Caenorhabditis elegans: one gene and its partners. The protein of the gene in region 1 purifies or fractionates together with the protein of each later gene. This does not show direct contact. Each region holds a gene or a part of one and is shown on either strand. Other genes may lie near its edges.

Region 1 (5,115 bases):
TGGACCAAACTACATTCAGCTTCCAGTCAACTGCCCGTACCGCTCCCGTGCTCATACCACTCAACGCGATGGTGCAATGGCTTATGAAAGCCAGGGAGATGCGCCGAATTACTTCCCGAACAGTTTCCGCGGATACCGTACTCGTGATGATGTGAAGGAGTCGACATTTCAGACGACTGGAGATGTTGATCGTTATGAGACTGGAGACGATCACAACTACGAGCAGCCACGTCAGTTCTGGGAGAAAGTGCTCAAGGAGGAGGAGAGAGATCGGCTCGTTGGGAATTTGGCTAGTGATTTGGGTGGCTGTTTGGAGGAAATTCAAAATGGAATGGTCAAAGAGTTCACGAAAGTTCATCCGGATTTCGGAAATGCTCTTCGCCATCAGCTCTGCCAGAAGAAGCATTAAATTGTTTGATATTCAAACTTTTGTATATAGAATCTCGTTATTTATAAACTCTTTTTTTTGTATTTCTTCTGGTTTTTGATGATAAGAAATTTTATGTGCACATAAATCAAAAAAGCCGGAAATTAAATAGCGTTTTATCAGGCAGAAAATTGGCCACGTGACGTCATCATTTTCCTGTTTGAAGAAAATCTGGAAAATTTTTTGTTTCAGTCAATTTTTAAAGATGAAAACTTAAGTTAGACTGTAAAAGCAATTTTCGCGCCAAAATTACGGTATCGGGTCTCGAAACGACAGTTTTTTATCTATTGCGAAAATATGTGCGCCTTTAAAGAGTACTGTAGTTGCAAACTTTTGTCGCTGTGGAGTTTTTATCGATTTTTTATATTTTTTCGATGAAAACAACTCAAATATAACAATAAAAACACAAAATTAAAAAAAAAATCGATAAAAAATCCGCGTCAACGAAAGTTTAAAGTTACAGTATTTGTCGTTTCGAGACCGGGTACCGTAGTTTTTGGTGAAAACATTGCAAAATTTGGTCAACAATTTCATCGCTGCGAGACCGACACAACACTTTATTTTATTTTTGGGTTTCCCTTATCGCTTATCATAAACATGTGACGTCATCATCTCTTGTACAGAGCACCGCGACTGGGAGTATAAGAATCGCCGGAAAACATCAATAATCAGTTCGGTAGAAGTGAAAATTGAGCGTAAAATATGATCATTTTTCGATGCACCATATTTGACGCGCAATACTTCTACAAGCCGCTGTGTACTGCTCGTGGACAACTTTGGATTATTTTTTGTTTTTAAAATTCAAAATAGTCAATATATTGCTTATTTATAGCGCGCCTTTTTGACAGTAAGTTTGTCAAATTTGCGCGTAAGTTATGGTGTTTGCACATATGCACCATACAGCAACACCCCGCGGCCCGGCTAGTGGTACATCCATGCAAATGCGCTCTACTGATAATTTGAGTTTAACCAGGTTTAGGCGCAAGATAAGAAAAAAGCTTTGGACCAAAAAATTTAGAGTTTATTTTTTTCGGACATTTTTTATATACATCACAAAAATATTGGGCCACTCGTTTTTGATAAAAACGACAAGCCCAAAAGTTCAGGTATACGGTAGACAAATTGCGTACAGGTACCACTTTTCCACGTAGTGCCAGGTTGTCCCATTACGCTTTGATCTATGAAAAATGCGGGAATTTTTCGTCCAGAAAAATGTGACGTCAGCACGTTCTCAACCATGCGAAATCAGTTGAAAACTCTGCGTCTATTCTCCCGCATTTTTTGTAGATCTGTAGATTTGTAGATCAATCCATTCCCCGTATACCCTGACCCATAATCAATACCTACCTAATTTTTGTCTTTCCCCCTACTTTTTTGCCTGTCCAAAATAAGCGAGACTATGCCGTAGTCTGGTGTCCAACAACATGTTCCTTATCAGTGATAACGCTACAATCTTCTTTCTTTTTTCTCTGTTTCTCTTGTCTCTCCCAACCCATATTCCGTATTACACCTCGTCGTGGTCATTTTTTTGTTCAGAGTTTTATTTAATTCTAAATTTCCTAACTAAAATTTCAGAACCAAAATGCCAAACGATCCATCGGATAATCAACTGAAAACCTACAAGGAGACGTATCCAGTGAGTTTAGAGTTTAAAGGCACAGACGCATTTTCTACAACAACAACTACTATTTACAGTAACTTGTTTCAGAAACCCCAAGTGATCACAACTTCAAATGGAGCTCCGATCTACTCGAAGACCGCCGTGCTCACCGCCGGGCGGCGTGGCCCAATGCTCATGCAAGATGTAGTTTATATGGATGAGATGGCTCATTTCGATCGTGAACGTATCCCCGAGCGTGTCGTTCATGCCAAGGGAGCCGGAGCCCATGGATACTTCGAGGTCACCCATGACATCTCCAAGTACTGTAAGGCCGATATCTTCAACAAGGTCGGGAAGCAGACCCCACTGCTAATTAGATTCTCTACAGTCGGTGGTGAGAGCGGATCCGCCGACACCGCTCGTGATCCACGTGGATTTGCGATCAAGTTCTACACCGAGGAGGGAAACTGGGATCTGGTTGGAAATAACACTCCGATCTTCTTCATCCGTGACCCTATCCACTTCCCGAACTTTATCCATACCCAGAAGCGTAATCCACAGACTCACCTGAAGGATCCCAACATGATCTTTGACTTCTGGCTTCATAGACCAGAGGCTTTGCATCAAGTGATGTTCCTGTTTTCCGATCGAGGACTCCCAGATGGGTACCGTCATATGAATGGATACGGATCCCATACATTCAAGATGGTTAACAAGGACGGAAAGGCTATCTATGTGAAATTCCATTTCAAGGTGGGTCCTTAATGTTATTTAAATTTTTCGGTCTATAATTTCCAACTTCAGCCAACTCAAGGAGTGAAGAATCTCACCGTGGAGAAGGCCGGTCAACTTGCCTCTTCGGACCCAGACTATTCCATCCGTGACCTGTTCAATGCTATTGAGAAGGGAGACTTTCCAGTATGGAAGATGTTCATTCAAGTGATGACATTCGAACAAGCTGAGAAATGGGAGTTCAATCCATTTGATGTCACTAAAGTTTGGCCACACGGTGATTACCCACTGATCGAGGTCGGCAAGATGGTGCTGAACAGAAATCCAAGGAACTACTTCGCTGAGGTAATGGGCTGGGCTTGACCGCCTAGTTGCGCGCTAAGGTGGCCTAGTCGGTCCCTTTTCTACTCGGACTGTTTCTATACCGGAGAGCTTGCGGTACGGTAGTCTCGTAGGATTGTGTTTTGGTACTGTACAGAGCCAAAGTTTTTTGGGGTTACCACAGAAAGAGAGCAGGTTCTTCTCATTCACCACAACTATTACTATTCGAGTCAGGGTGGTACAGAAGCTAGGTGAGTGCAAACGTGCTCTACCGAACGAGTAAATTTTCTTGCGGCCATTTTTCATATGCATCGCAAAATCCAAATTTGGGTTAGTTTTCGAGATAGCAGCCAATACAGGTTTTTAGACTGATTATCATGAACCAAGCCATCTAGTTTCTGTGCTACCGTGTGAAGTGTGGTAAGGCATGCAATTGCGCTCTAACGAGAAACTAGGGCCCATAAGACGGAATTGATAGCTCTCACGTGGTGCCAGACTGTCCCATTATGGTTTGTTTTTTTTTTATCAACAAAAAATGCGGGAATTTTTTTTGCACAAAAAATGAGACTTCAGCAAGTTCTTAACCATGCGAAATCAGTTGAAAACCTTGCGTCTCTTCTCCCGCATTTTTTGTAGATCAAAGTAGATCAAGCCGAAATGAGACACTCTGACACCACGTGAGTTCAACGTGAATAGCTAGTTTTGGGAAACACAAAAACGTTTTTCCAAAACTACAGTAATCCTACAGTACTTTATTTCCAGGTTGAACAATCCGCCTTCTGCCCGGCCCACATCGTCCCAGGAATCGAGTTCTCGCCAGACAAGATGCTCCAAGGACGTATCTTCTCGTACACCGACACTCATTTCCACCGCCTTGGACCAAACTACATCCAGCTTCCAGTCAACTGCCCGTACCGCTCCCGTGCTCATAACACCCAGCGTGATGGTGCAATGGCTTATGACAATCAGCAACATGCTCCAAACTTCTTCCCGAACAGCTTCAACTATGGAAAGACTCGTCCGGATGTCAAGGATACCACATTCCCAGCCACTGGAGATGTTGATCGTTATGAAAGTGGAGATGACAACAACTATGATCAACCCCGTCAATTCTGGGAGAAGGTGTTGGATACCGGGGCTCGGGAGAGAATGTGCCAGAACTTTGCAGGGCCGCTCGGGGAATGTCATGATTTCATTATTAAGGGAATGATCGATCACTTTTCAAAGGTTCATCCAGATTTTGGAGCTCGTGTCAAGGCACTCATCCAGAAACAGGCTCGCTCTCATATCTAAACTTTCTTGAAATTAAAAGAAATTAAATGTACTTTTTATTGTAATAACTTGCTTTATTGTGTATAAAAAATATGATAATTAAAAATAAATAAAGTTAATATAACTTAAACTCTCCACCAACTCACAGCGGATGTAAAGCTCTAAACTTATCAGCAAGCCTCTGGCCCAACAGCGAGTCATGCTTCAGGGTCTCCCTCTCCACCAGCAGCTCAGGCGTCAAAGCCCAATTCTTGGGATCCTTGCTCAGAATGCAAGACTGTATCAGTGTCTGAACGAAAAGGTCCCGCTGGGCATGAGATCCTCCGATTTGGACAACTTTATCGCGAATTGGGTACATAGTCTCGGCAGCTGTGTCGTAGTCGCAGCGGGCAAAGTCAAGCATCCCGTCGTAGAGGGGCATCCCGATGGTCTTGCTGATTTGGGCATTGTCCTCGGATAGCAGCCTGAAAAATGATAGTTTGATATGTGGTAAGTTTGACCTAGGAGCTGATTATCACATCTAATTCCACATATCCTAACACCTTTCGATACAACGTTTTTAAATTTTCGCCAATCACGGTTTGATCTACAAAAAATGCGGGAAATTTTCCCTAAAAAATGTGACGTCAGCAGGTTCTTTATCATGCGAAATCAGCAAAGACGTCTGCGTCTAAATTCCCGCAATTCTCGTAGATCTACGTAAATCAAATCGAAATGGGACAGCTCGACACCACATGCCTACCAAGTACATACAACATGTCAA
Region 2 (4,136 bases), on another chromosome or scaffold:
TCGAACAAATAAGCTTTATGGCCCGAATTGGGAAAAAATGACGGTTTTTTGAAGATTTTGAATTCCTGGCAACTGATTTTAGCCACAAATTCGCGATTTTCAAGCAGATTTGAGCGAAATTCTAGTTTTTCCTCTAACATCAAATGAAAATCGCTTCAAAATTGGGTCAAAAATCCCAATTTTTCCAAAAATCACTGTGGCTTTTGAATTTAAATCCACAATTTCCCGGTATTAACCTTCTTGGAGATCTTCTTGAGCTCTGCAACGACGACTTCGACGGCGTTCATGACTCCACGACGGATCTCGACAGCGTTTCCGCCTTGACGAATGCTCTCGAATCCCTCTTTGGCGATGGCTCTGGCGAGAACTGTGGCGCAGGTGGTTCCGTCTCCAGCCTCCTCATTAGCCTTGTTGGCGACATCTTGAATGAGCTTGGCTCCCAGGTTCTGGTATTTGTCCTTGAGGTCGATGGATTTCGCGACGGTGACTCCGTCCTTTGTGATCTTTGGGCTTCCCCACGACTGCTCGATGATCACGTTTCTTCCCTGAAAGAGTTTGGAGTTTTAGAGGCTGTATTTATGAAGAAAAAAAAATTAAATTTTGCATTAAACCGGAAGTTTTGTGTATAAAAATACGTTAAAATAGATTTTTTTACAGCATTTTTTCCTCAATTTTCACATCAAAATCCCCGTACTTTTGGGCCCATAGTGACAGAGACGGCGTCGGCGAGCAGGTTGACTCCGACGAGCATGGCCTGTCGTCCTTCGGCTCCGAACTTGACGTCCTTGGCGTAAGATCTGACGACGGCGGTCTGAAGTCCCTTTCTGGCGAGGCGAAGCATCTTTTGTGTCTGAAAAACTACGAAAATTGTGTGAAAATCTGCAGCGGAAAGGCGAAAATGCGAGCAAAATCAGAGTTTCTCATCGAAAATGAAGCGAGAAGCCTTGCATTATCGTCTGAGAAGCAGAAAAGGAGTGAAAAATAACGAGAATGGATGAGAAATCGGCTGGGAAAACGGTAAAACAGATATTTCCCCTAATTTAGACGATAAATGGCCTATAAATAAGCATTTTTCAATCGTTTTTTATGAAAATGAAGCGAGAAGCCTTGCATTATCGTCTGGGAAGCAGGTAATGACTGAAAAATACAGGAATAAATGAGAAAATAGCTGGGAAAACTGTAGAATAGTTTTTTCCCCTAATTTCGACGAAAAATGGCCCAAAAATAAGCATTTTTCAATGGTTTCTGATGAAAATAGAAGCAAAAAACCTCAATTTTTCGTTCAAAATATGAAAAATGAGAGAAAAATAACGAAAATGACGCAAATTTTGATGTAAAATGGCTAATTTACATCAGAATAGACTTTTGCATCATTTCACTCGCTCCGCCCAGTTTTGCAAGGTGCGCACACTTTTCTAGGTGGAGCTGAGCGCGCTGATTGGCTGAATTTGCGGCGCGGTGTCTGCCATTGGCCCGACACGCCTAGATTTGCAAGTTTGCCGCACGAGATTTTTCGCGCCGCACATTTATTTTCTGCTTTTTTTCTCGAAGCTTCTTTTGGTTTTTTGATCATTTTCTGAATTTTCGCGGGTTTCTTCGGGTTTTTTCGTTGTTTTCATGTAATTTCCCGCTAAAAATAAATTTTAAAACTCAAAAAACCAATTTTTCAGCCGAAAAATGTTCCTCACCGCTGTCCGCCGATCGGTAAGCTATTTTCCCGGTGTTTTCTCCGAATTAAACGCGTATTTTTTTGCAGAGCAATGTCCTCAAGACCTTCAAGCCACTCTATGATCGTGTGCTCGTCGAGAGAGTCGCCGCCGAGACCAAGACAAAGGGAGGAATCATGCTCCCGGAGAAGTCACAGGGAAAAGTGAGCAATTTTTGGCCTAAAAATTGATTTTTCAGGTGAAAACTGATAAATTTCAACGTCTTGGAGCAGATTTCTAGCACAAAAATGCCAATTTCACCGTCAAAATGGTGCAACTTGGCGTCTAAAACACAGTTTCTAGCTAAAAACCTTCAATTTTATACGAAAAATGTTAATTTTCACCGAAAATTCCGTAAAGTCTGGTGTAATGATGCAATTATCGATTTTCCCTGCCAACACGCTCTCCGACTGCTCGCGGAGGTTTTTGTCCAATTTTTATCCGAAATTACCGAATTTTCACTCAAATTAAAGCAATTTCCACCTAATTTTCGAATATTTCAGGTCCTTGAAGCCACCGTCGTCTCTGCCGGAGCCGGACTTCGCAACGAGAAGGGAGAGCTCGTCGCATTGACTGTGAAGCCAGGAGATCGTGTCCTTCTCCCAGAATACGGAGGCACCAAGGTACAAAATGCGACGAATTTCGAGCGAAAATATGGATTAATTGGCGAATTTTTAATGTGAAAATCTGAATTTCCGTTGAAATTTCACACAATTTGGACGAAAATCGGGATTTTTTTTAACATTTCAGTGTAAAAGTAGCGTTATATTACTGAAAAGTCATTGAAATCAACGAAAATTGCACAAAAATTGTGTTTTTTCAGCCGAAATCCAAGATTTTTTCAGAAAAATCAGGAAAAATTGTATTAAAATACGATTTTTCCCCCAAAAACTGAATATCACGCGCTTTTCGCTCTAAATTATTGGGGAAATACCTTTAATATAGTACATTTACGCTAAAACCCAACGAAAATTGCACAAAATTTGCCGATTTTCACCGGAAATCTAGCATTTTCTCTGTAAAAATTCATTTTTATGAACGAATTTCGAGAAAAACTGAATTAAAGTACGATTTTTACGCCAAAAAACTGAATTTCATGGGTTTTTCGCTCTAAATTATTAGGAAAAAACCTGAAAATCAGTTTATTTTCGCTGAAAATCCACAAAAAGTGCCGATTTTCACCGGAAATCTAGCATTTTCTTTGAAAAAATCCCAAATTTCCTTCGTTTTTTAAGGAAAAACTAGGTTAAAATATGATTTTTACGCCAAAAAAACTGAATTTCAGGCGGTAAAATGTCAGTTTTTTCCAGTGAAATATAGTTTTAGGCCAAAATTTTGACAAAATACCTGAAAATTAATTAATTTTTTGCTTACAGACCGCGAAAATTGCGCAAAAACATATTTTTTCGACCGATTTTCGCAGGAAATCCCAACAATTTTTCCCCAATTTCAGGTCGTCGTCGAGGACAAGGAATACTCAATCTTCCGCGAGTCTGATCTTCTCGGAGTCTTCCATTAAATTATCTTCCATATGGCTTTCGGTCTCACAAATCTTCATTCAATTATTCCCCTCTCTCTCTCTCTCTGTTTATTTAATTTTTTAATTTCAATTTTTTGAGTTTAGATTTTAGGAAATTCCTCTTTTTTGTTGAAAAAATCGATTGTTATAGTTCCTTTTTTCCTTGATTTTTCGCCGGTATTGTTTTTCTTTTTTTTCGATTTTAAATAATGATTTTTCAGATTTTTCTTGTTCTCTGGCCACAGACAATGTTTTCGATGTGACAGGGCGAACCGAGAAAAGCTCAATGTGGCTTGGAGAACCGGAAAAAACAAACGGCGTACTTAAAAGACACGGCAGTGGTCGAACCTTTTCAAGCTCTGAGCTATTTTTTAACCGTTTTTAAATATTTTTAGCGCTTTTCTGCAATTTTTTGAAAAATTTTGAATTGCCGCCAATTTAATTTGTTCGATGGAGCGCGCTTGCATTATTTTACTGATTTTTTTTCGGTTTTTTGGAAATTGAATTTCCCGTCAAAAAGATCCAAAAATAAACTAAAATGATGCAAGCGCGCTCCATCGAACATCTTGAACTCTTGGCGGTAATTCGAATTGGAACGCAAACTGAGGATTTTCCTTCCAATTTTCAACAAAAAAAAACATTTTTTTTGGGGTACGGTAGCTTCAAAAGAACGCAAACACCGCAGTGCTTACGACAAAATGCAGAATTTCTCAATTTTTTGTAAAAATCACATGCCTATGGGTAAAATGAGGTGCTGAATCTGAATTTGTTAGTTAAAATTCATAAAACTAAAGTTGAAATGTCAAAAAATGAGTTTTTATGACTTTATCGTCAGGAAAATTGTATTAAAATTCATTTTTGCAGATTTTCATGTAAAAATTTGAAATCTTCGTGACATTTCACCCTAGAAA
Region 3 (2,869 bases), on another chromosome or scaffold:
AACGAGACGCTCACCAAAAAGAAAATAGCTAAAGCCATTATTGCTGCACAAAAAGCTTCTCAAGCTGTGATGGATGCACGTGTAATTATGGGAGCCAAAGGCGAGGAACTGACAAAGTGAAAATAATTGATTTGTCTGTTAAAATTTCTAAATTATTGAAATTTTATAATTAATAGGTCTCAATCTGATGCAGTCTTTCCATATGAACATTGTTGCATTGTCTTAATTCTGACATGGTCTTGGTACATTGTCTGTCCAACATTTCAAAGCAAAATATCATTATTTGGGAAAATCTTTAAAAGCATTTATATGTTGTTAAAATGACCCAATATCAAAACGCAAAACGTTAGAAAAAAATTATCTATGAGCAGTTAGTTCGATGATATTGGTTGAAAACTCAGTTAAATATGACTATACTTTTGTAAGTCGGCCAAAACATGTTTTTTTGAATTTTCGCCAATTTTTAACCATGTTTTAAATAGTTGTCATTGACCAATATAGAAATTTTAAACCTGCTGCATCGCTTCCATTTTTTTTTCAAAAAATTTACTTAAAAAAGGCCAGTTACCAAAACTTCGATTGAAAATTTTGAATTCCCTATTCACAATGGGAGATCAGAAGCAAAGACAAGGAAATGAAAAATTATATCAACACTTTTCCCATAGGGAGTGAATTAATTTTGACTCTTAAAGCTAGACAATGTGCGAATATTTTGAATGTTACCACATGATAAGTTTTTTGTTAGAGTTATGCGATATTGAGTCATAAATCGGTTATAATATCATACAAAGGATCTTAGGTTTCTAGGGAAGTTAATAGAAACAGTCTATGCGGGAAAATCTGAAACGGAATGAATAACCTCACGTTCAAAGATATAGTTGCAAAAAAATATTAAATGTTGTTTCAAACCGCTCCGAATACAAATGCCACAAGTCCTTTCATAATTTTCAGAAACAATAAAGTTTTATCTAAAACTAATCCATTGCCTCGAACCTCTCGGTAAATCTAGTGGACACTATTTTGTTAAACAACTTTTACTTACTATGAATCTAAACTTATTTGATGACTATTTTTGCAGTCTTACAAAATTGAATAAGTTGAACAACATTATTTTTCCAGATGAACATCAGAGCGGAATAAAACACTGAAACGTTGTGGAAACTAAATACTACCGCCGAAACAGTAATATATTTCTGGAAAAAAATAAACACCTACTTCTCTTACTTTGTGGTATTTTTACTCGAAAACAGTTATATATTCAAAATATAGTTTCATTAATTTTTTAAATTCATGTTTATGTCGTGGCGTGGCAATAATACTAAATGTTTATATTAACTTGAAAGTTCGCAAAAAATTGATCATAAACGAGTTTATATTTGTACATTACCTACTCGTTCTATCCAAAGAAAGTTTAAATATATTTACAAATAACAACGTAAGTTGACGTTATTCTAAATGTCATACATCTGGATCGTTAAAAAACAGTTATCATGCATTGCAACATAGTATAAATGTTTAGTACATTCCTGCAAGCCGGACAATTTTCCTATTTATCACGAGTTTAATGCATATGTTGTCGATCTGTAACCTTTTTTCTATTCCATACATTATGCTCTCCGCTTTCGACGCTGCTTCTTATCAAATGGTCAAGTAATCAAAATTGGGAAGTTTTTGCTATAAATGCGCCCCTATCACCGCGTGCTCTTTCAATTCTTCCTTGCGTTTTGATGCTTCAGTGTTTCATTTCAATTTATTTTATTACAGAATGAAGACTCTTCTTGTACTAGCCGTTTTGGTCGCCGTTGCCTCAGGACTTGCCATCCCAGAAAATAGAAGCGCATTGAGCTGTCAAATGTGTGAGTTGGTTGTCAAGAAATACGAAGGATCCGCCGATAAGGATGCCAATGTCATCAAGAAGGTAATAAATCCGTGCTAGAAAAAAACCAACAACTCTTGAATATTCTAGGATTTCGATGCTGAATGCAAGAAGCTTTTCCACACCATCCCATTCGGAACCAGAGAATGCGATCATTACGTCAACAGCAAGGTAGACCCAATCATTCACGAGCTGGAAGGAGGAACCGCTCCAAAGGATGTGTGCACCAAGCTTAACGAATGCCCATAAACGGATCATTGAAATTTTTACTTGTTTGAAACTTTTACCAATAAATTTTCGATTTTTAAAAGTTTCAACCAGAATTTTGATAAATATAGAATAATTGTGACCAGAAATGTATTGGACCTTATTTTTTAGAAAGGGCCTCAAGTCTAATAACGAATCATAATAGTACTGATAAGGACTGTAATCCAAAAAGCTTCAATCCAGGAGAGTGGGGAACAATTGAAAAAATGTGTATCATTATGATTTTAGAGTTTGGAACTTGCCCGGTCTGCACACCATGTACACGTGACTGTTATTGCTTGAAACGCTGAAAGCTCGTTGCAAGCTTTTCTTGAGTTTCTAGAATTATCTTGAAGCTTGAAAGCTTTTCGCGCACAATTATTGATTGAACAGCGAAAAATGAGTACACTTTTTTCAAAACCTTTGATACTTTTTTGACACATTAGGAGTTTGGTTTGATAAGTTTTCTTTGTGAAATTGTCCTGCCCTGGACACCTAATTTTTACAGATAACAACATACAATTTCAGGGAAGTGCCGCGTCTTGATGATTTGCAATATATAATACCTGTAACTTTTTCACAATTATCGAAACTGTGATCACGTGAAATCACATAATATTCCGTTTATCTACGGATACAACAGAAAATTAAGTTCAATAGATCAAAAAGTCATCGAATTCCTTCAAAAAGACAGAGGGAGTCTGAAAAAAATTTGTTTAATGTAGGAAGTCGTATGCATAATACATT

The links. The genes of interacting proteins can lie anywhere in the genome.
Region 2: the proteins of ctl-2 (region 1) and Y22D7AL.10 fractionate together in Caenorhabditis elegans (co-fractionation; one large-scale study listed by BioGRID). This does not show direct contact.
Region 3: the proteins of ctl-2 (region 1) and spp-5 fractionate together in Caenorhabditis elegans (co-fractionation; one large-scale study listed by BioGRID). This does not show direct contact.

What each region holds. Positions count from the first base shown.
Region 1 is NC_003280.10:14,298,915-14,304,029, reverse strand, and holds ctl-2 (Peroxisomal catalase 1), read left to right. Parts: upstream 1-2,002; 5' UTR 2,003-2,009; coding exon 2,010-2,063; intron 2,064-2,135; coding exon 2,136-2,780; intron 2,781-2,831; coding exon 2,832-3,104; intron 3,105-3,842; coding exon 3,843-4,373; 3' UTR 4,374-4,474; downstream 4,475-5,115. Other genes in the region: ctl-1 (Catalase-2), read left to right, coding at 1-409; Y54G11A.7 (Tetratricopeptide repeat protein 38), read right to left, coding at 4,495-4,816.
Region 2 is NC_003281.10:1,616,464-1,620,599, reverse strand, and holds Y22D7AL.10 (10 kDa heat shock protein, mitochondrial), read left to right. Parts: upstream 1-1,670; 5' UTR 1,671-1,677; coding exon 1,678-1,704; intron 1,705-1,756; coding exon 1,757-1,870; intron 1,871-2,209; coding exon 2,210-2,329; intron 2,330-3,159; coding exon 3,160-3,225; 3' UTR 3,226-3,449; downstream 3,450-4,136. Other genes in the region: hsp-60 (Chaperonin homolog Hsp-60, mitochondrial), read right to left, coding at 237-545, 695-841.
Region 3 is NC_003284.9:7,319,250-7,322,118, reverse strand, and holds spp-5 (Saposin B-type domain-containing protein), read left to right. Parts: upstream 1-1,764; 5' UTR 1,765-1,765; coding exon 1,766-1,918; intron 1,919-1,966; coding exon 1,967-2,125; 3' UTR 2,126-2,182; downstream 2,183-2,869. Other genes in the region: T08A9.13 (uncharacterized protein), read left to right, coding at 1-120.